Linked DNA regions of Cricetulus griseus. The protein of the gene in region 2 interacts with the protein of the main gene of each other region in a pairwise test. Links are inferred from orthologs where the notes say so. Each region holds a gene or a part of one and is shown on either strand. Other genes may lie near its edges.

The links.
Region 1: the proteins of Rbm41 (region 2) and Hnrnpc interact in binary tests that used the Homo sapiens proteins (3 or more experiments, as listed by UniProt). The two-hybrid records come from large-scale screens. The link is inferred for Cricetulus griseus from reciprocal best matches to the Homo sapiens genes RBM41 and HNRNPC.

Annotation. Positions count from the first base shown.
Region 1 is NW_023276807.1:207,152,691-207,156,345, forward strand, and holds part of Hnrnpc (heterogeneous nuclear ribonucleoproteins C1/C2), read right to left. Parts: intron 978-3,655; coding exon 863-977; intron 326-862; coding exon 278-325; intron 1-277. UniProt on the Homo sapiens protein: Binds pre-mRNA and nucleates the assembly of 40S hnRNP particles. Interacts with poly-U tracts in the 3'-UTR or 5'-UTR of mRNA and modulates the stability and the level of translation of bound mRNA molecules. Single HNRNPC tetramers bind 230-240 nucleotides.
Region 2 is NC_048604.1:40,376,009-40,379,663, reverse strand, and holds part of Rbm41 (RNA-binding protein 41), read right to left. Parts: intron 2,473-3,655; coding exon 2,069-2,472; intron 1-2,068. UniProt on the Homo sapiens protein: May bind RNA.

The DNA of each region.
Region 1 (3,655 bases), on a different chromosome or scaffold from region 2:
CCAATCTCAGTACTAATGATGGGACCTCATACCTGCCTGGAAAAACAGCTTATATGATAAGCCTTCTTCCAAGGGCTGTAGACATTCAATACATGAGGCAGACATTTACACAAATCCATTCACAAGAGCTGGAGTAGGGTTTGTCTTTAATTGTTATGCTTTATAAGCAAGCATCCTACTACAGAGGTTTTAACTGAGTAGAAAGCAGCATGTTGGAAACATGAGCTTAAGCTGCCTTTTTAAATAATATCCAAAAAGGAAACAAAACTATACATACCTGTCATAGTAATCCCGCTGAAAGTCATAGTCCAAATCAAATGAGGAACTGAAAAATAAATAACAAAAAAGATGATTTTGGAGCTGCTGTTAAGGCAAAAGGCAGATGGGGTGAAAACAGGCCAAACAATCCACAACAAATAGATCAGTAAGATTAGCAATGAATCACCATTCATTCAAACAAATCATTTGCGCTCCATTGTTATCTTAGACCACTGGACATGCAGTGATCAAATTAGTAAATTCATGTAAAAATTTCAACAAAGTAACTTATTAACCAAACCAAGAACACTAAAAGAAAACAATAGTTGTTGAAACCACAATCCCTTCTCCCTTCCTTATTCCCAAGCTTTCTAGAACCTAACAAATTCCTCTTGAATTTATGATACATACACATAAAATTATTGTTAAACAGCAAAATCTCAGTGCAAGGAAATAGGGGCAAAGGGGAAGTATGTTAACACACGTTAATAAGCATTACACTTTTGCACATACAAAACACATCGCGCTACCCTCCCCACATCCAGAAACACAGAAGTTGCCCACTGATGGACACAATGCAGTTATAAATAATAAAGTTCCGGACCTGAGTAGAGGGGACGGAGAAGGGTGTTCTGGTACTGACCCGTACATCTCCGCTGCAGATCGTTTGACACCTGCTTTTCCTCGGTTCACTTTTGGCTCTGCAGCCAGATTAATATCTGGAAAAAAAAGGAAAACAAAAAGGGGGGGGGGTTAAAAAACAAGAACTCAAGGCAAAAAGACTGGGCTTTATTTCCCAGCAAAGCTAACAAGCCTGTATTCAGACTACAGTTATTACCTAATGTGTAACATTAACTTTCCTCACTAAAAGGTTTTACAAAGCTACCCTGTATGGCTAGAAACCAAAACTCCTCACATTAGTTTTTCTTTGCTACATATCCCTAACTCTTTCTCCAATTTGTAAAATTGATTCATCTTTCTTAACTTTTTACTCATGCACTAACACAGTTAAAGGATCACATCAGTAGCTACTAACTGGTCATTTTTTCAATAATGTTTCTATTATTTTTCACAAAAAAAGCTTGCACTAACTGCAAAGATAAGTGTGGAAATTTATGTATACCCTTAAAGTCATTCTCAACGCCATTACTAAACACAAAAGTACCCTGACAACTTCTACACATATACCCACCCATCCATAATAATAATAAACATCCAAATTTCAAAGTACAAAACAGATCTGGCAAGATAGCACAATGGTTATAGCACCGGCTCTAAGTCAGGCAACTGAGCTCAATGCTCATGCTCCACATGGTAGAAGGGAAAAACCTACTAAAGAAGTACTAAGTTAGATCCTGACCAGTAAGTGTCCATGTGCACAAACACAAAACAACTTTTCTTTAAATTTAAGGACACACTATTGGGACAGTAAGATCAAGGGACATTGAGTGATTAATGTACAAGCCTCAATGACTAAAACTGGTTCCCAGAAACCATATAGCAGAAAAAGAGGACTCTAGCAAATTGTCAACAAATGCAAACCTTTTAAAACACAATCTAGTTTTTAAGGACTAATCCAAAGATTTACTTTCTCTATCACTAGCTACAACGACTCTTCTCACTAGTTCTAACAAATAAGCCTAAAGGGAAGCAAAACAAATGAAATACCAGACCAAAACTGGGTCTCTAAAACAAGTTTCACAAATGATAATTTCAGATGAGCACAAGTAGATACATTGGCACTGAGTTTTTAGCTAAACTCTTCCAAACCATGTGTGCTTGCTTAAAAAAAAAAAAAATTCATATTTTTATTGTATACAACATTCTGCTTCCATGTATATCTGCACTCCTGAAGAGAGCACCAGTACTCATAACGGATGGTTGTGAGCCACCATGTGGTTGCTGGGAATTGAACTCAGGACCTCTGAGCCATCTCTCCAGCTTCCCCCCCTTTTTAAATAAAATTCATTATACTTAGTAAAATAAGAACAGTAGAACTAAACTATCAAGAATTCTTTCGGACAACCTTACTGTATTTATTCAATATTCCTAATGGAATGCAAAAAAAAAATTTAAAGCCCTTAAATATAATGCTGAATTTAGTCATTGTCCATAGAGAGTCTGCTGCGAAACTTAAAACAAGCAAAATAGAAATGGTATTATATCCTAATTAGCATAGTATCAGTAGTAGTAGTAGTCAGGGGATTTGCAAAGTGATTGAAACTCTAGTCTGTGTGTATATCCTCCTCCCTGCCTTCCCGAGCACTTTTACTCTCTCCTTTCTTGCTCTTTGGTCTTTACCCACAATACACCTACGTATATACAAAGGTGTGAACATTACATAGGAAAGAACACTTAGTCTTTTCACTTCAGTACTTATTTACCCATTTTCTTTTTTGGTTTCTCTTTGGAGGCTGTCCTAGAACTTGGCTCTTGTAGACCAGGCTGGCCTTGAATTCACAGAGATCCGCCTGCCTCTTCCTCCAGAGTGCTGGGATTAAAGGTGTATGCCACCATGCCTGGCCTTTCCTGTAATTTTTAGATTTGTTTCTCTTTTGAGCTTTTTAAAAACTTATTATGTTACAAACAGTTGTGAGCTGCCATGTGAGTGCCAGAATGGAACTTGGGTCTTCTGGAAAAGGAACCAGGTCTTAATTGATTAGCCATTTACCCAGCCCATTTGCTTTTCTTTATTGCTAAATATAATTTCTCTAAATATACAAATACATCATATAACATAATATGAAATTTAATCACCCAGTCGTTTATGTATATCTAGGCTGGTTTCATTTCTTTGCTATATAGCCGTATGTACATGTACAGAATTATCTGCAGTAGATGGAGCACTCTACTTAGGGCCAGTACAGCTGGCACTTGTCAGTGGTAATTTCTGTGAAAACCAGCAGTGGATGTTTCTATCCTTACAAACTGGTCAGTATGTTAACTTCAGTGTTGATTAATTAAAGATAATATGCTTGCTTTTCCTTAAAAAATGCATTAAGTCCAACAAATGGGATAGGCTCCAAAGCTACAGAGAAACTCCAAAAAACAAAAACAAGCTTTTAGGCCAAAATGTTAGCAAACAGTTTTAATCCCAGTATAATAATTTGAGTTTGAGGTCAGTGTGATCAACATAGTTTAAGTCTCAGAACAGAGAGGGCTATGTAGAGACCTTGTCTCACCAGCCCTTAACACAGAAACAAAAACAAGTTTAAGCCAGGGAGACAGAGGCAGGCAGATCACTGAGTTTGAAACCAGCCTGGTCTACAAGAGCTTGTTCCAGGGCAGCCTCCAAAGCCACAGACAGGGAAGATTCTAATCACATCAAATATAGCTAAAAGACTAGCTTTACAAACAAGTCAGGGAAACAAATATCTAAATGAGAGAAAAAAAAGAC
Region 2 (3,655 bases):
TGAACAAGACAGATAAGAGGTTGTAATTTTCTTTTATCCTAATATTTTTAACTGGTTTCTGTAATAAGGTAAGTCTCACCTCACAAAAATGTATTCCCTCCACTTCTGTTCTACAGAATGAGAAAATAATTTTATTTTATCTTTGTGTATTTTTTCCTCTATGTTTTTCCTATATATAGATCTGAATTATTAAGTTATCTAATTTTCCTAAACTTAGGAGAATAATTTTATTGTGACAAAATCTCTACATGTTTGTTCATCTGAGAACTGTTATTCTGTTTCCTCTGTACCAAAAGGTAAGTTTTCTGGATAGATTTCTACATGGGTGGAATTTTTTTCTCTATAAACTTTAATATTTCATTCCATCCTCTTCTTGCTTGTGTTGCCTTGTGATGAGGCTGATGTCATTCTCTTTGATCCTATTTATTCCTTTTTCCTTTATCTTGCCTGTCTATAGTTTGAATATGTTATGCTTAGATGTAGTTTTTGGCATTCTTCTTGCTTAATGTTCTCTGAGATTCCTGGATATATGGCTAGTAGTCTGCTATTAATTTCAGAAAATATTCAGAAACTAGTAGTCCAAATAACTCTCTTCTTTGTTCTTTTTCTCATACATGTGACACACACAATAAAAATAAATCTTAAAAAATGAAAAAATAATCATTATAAATAAACACAAAGGGCAAAAATATAAAAATATGGATAAAGGAACAGAAAGCTAACTCACAGAGGGTAGAAGAAGGGCTAATAAATTAAAAATACTTGTATATCTTTACTGGAAATGAGGAATATGCAAATTTAAAAATAAATTACCTTTCTAAACTATTAGGTAAAGTTAAAAGTCTATATTGAGTCAAAATAGTACCAGAAAAAGATGTAAAGTATGACAGCATCTACATAGTTTTCAAATGTGTGAAACTGTATTTATGGATATTTATGAATATTTATGGATAGTTAAGATATACCTTGGGTTAAGATAGGGTCATATCTTGATAAATTCTTTCTAAGTTGAAATATCCTAAGTCAGAAATGCACTTAATATATGTAATCTATGGAACACTGCAGCTTAGCAACCTAATACTCTGGAGTGTCAATGGTTTATCCTCATGATATATGGCTGACTGTGAGATGTAGGTTACTGTGGCTGCCCAGCATCTCAATAAGGTACCAGAGCACCACAATGCATATTGCTAGCTTAACAAAAATAAAAATTCAAAATCCAGAGTATAGGTTCCACTAAATGCATATTTTCTCATACAATCATGTAAACAAAAGTAAAATTAGCTATTATTAGTTAGGGACAGTTGTATGCAGTTTTCTGTAGTAAATGCATAAAAATACCCACGGGAACAGAACTAGAAAATTTGAAATAGTGGTTAAACCTGGAAAGAAGGAAGAATGGGATTGATGAAGAATCCATGAAATTCTTCAGCTATATTCATAAAGCTTTACTAATTTTTAAAACTAAGAAAATAGGAAAAAATATTAAGTCTTAGTAAACGTGGCTAGCTAAGTATACAAATACTCCCTAACTTATTCATGGGCTATTTACTCTTTGGCATGTTAGTAACAGCTCAGGACAAATGTAAAGTAAATGAAAGTCGAGCTACCCCGGGAAGAGGACTAACGTAACAGAAAGTCACTCACAGTACTTCAGTATCACTTCATCCATCTTTTTTTTTTGAAATCAGGGAATATTATTCTTTATTCTGCTTTCTAAAATTAAGACAAAAATTAACGCTTTAAGGAGTTGTGCTGTTAATGGTACCCACAACTGGGTGGCCAATCACTAGGGACATGGTGGTTACTTTTCCTATAATTCAGAGCTTCTAGATCTCATTATTATTTGAAAATGCTGAGGGGACTTTAGGATCTAAGAAAGGCACACAGAACATGGTATGAAATAGGCTACTTAATAGTATGTGGAAAATGATGGTTAAGGTTAAGGACAAACAAAATAGCTATGTCATAATCTTTGGCATAATCAAAGGTAATTTTAAAATGTTCCATTAGGTAGAGGTAAATAAAGTGAAAACAACTCATGTTGTGGTCTTGATTTGGCCTATACCTTGTTCGGTTCCCCTGGGTTATATGCAGAAAACATAGGGATGTTTCGGATCTCCTCCTCTGACAAACGGTTTCTCTGGATCTCATCTTCAGGGATAAATTCTATTGGTTGCGTCAGCTTCTTAGGCCCAGTCCAACACTGCTCAGGTAGAAAATCAATAACTTTTGCCACATGGAGACTGGGGCCTTTACCCTGTGCTGCCTGTTTTCCCTTGTCCTGGAGTAGTGATGGGTTCTCAGCTGTGCCACTATCACCCACTGATGTAGCTGAGACCAGTGAGTGGGAAGCAAAGGGTTCACCTCTCATAAGTTGGAACTCTTCAAGACGCTTTTTCATTATAGTCTCGTGGTAAAAACCTTCCAGGTTGTTCATGGGATCACCTTTGTTCTTCTCTGGGGGTTCATCTGGATCAAGACAAAGAGATATGGAAGTTCTACAAAGCCTCCCCAGTATAACCTTTTAAAAATTAATAAAAATTAAATTTTGGATCTCAGATACAGAACCTCTTTTAGGAAAGGTTTTTATAACATGTAGCAAGTGTGTGTGTATGTGTGTGTGTGCATACACACACACACACATGCATGTTCATGAGAATGTGCATGTATCTTAAAACTGCATCTTGAGCAAGGCCAATACATGGCAAAGTAAGGCACCAAGAAACCTCAAGTTCATGCAAGTATACATACATACCTCTAACTCACAAGGACATCTGAAGAATAGAACCAGGATGGCATTTCCATATTTACGGACTTAGTAATTCCTAAGTACCACCCAATTCCAAATTTATATTTGAATGACCTTGATTATGCCAGTGACTTTTTCAATACTTGTTTATTTAATCAAGATATAAGTCAGTTTTGGCTGTTATGACTTTGAAATCATTTTTCTGTCCCATCCCTTCATCAACCTTTATCCTCTGTCCATTGATAGTATACAACCATTATCTGTTTTGTGAACAAATTGATTTAATGAAATGTTTTCTGATGATAACTTGTTCAAAATTTCTTGTATTTTTTGACACTTAAGTCTAGTCTAATACAGTTGTCATTGGTCACTTGGTTATGCTTTTTTTTATCAGTTTGTGTCAAATTTGGTACATTTCAAATAATATATATATATATATATATATATATATATATATATATTCCAGATTATCCAGAACAGATAAAGATCATTTATAATATTCTAGAAAGTTAAATTAATGATGGTTTCTGTAAAGATTTAATTAGATTCATGTTCAATATTTAAAGCAAAAAATTCATATATAATTGTTTATTTCCTATTGTACCATGTCTAAAGGCACATAATATTCACTGGGCATATTTGGTGTTTGTCATATCCCTCAATTATCATGTATGCCTATTCATTTTTTTTTTTGAGACAGGGTTTCTCTGTGTAGCTTTGGAGCCTATCCTGGCACTCACTCTGGAGACCAGGCTGGTCTCGAACTCACAGAGATCCACCTGCCTCTGCCTACCGAGTACTGGGATTAAAGGCGTGTGCCACTAACACCGGTACGCCTATTCAATTTTTACCTAATGGACTTTATATCCATTGGCAATTACTGTTTACATCTATTAATTTACT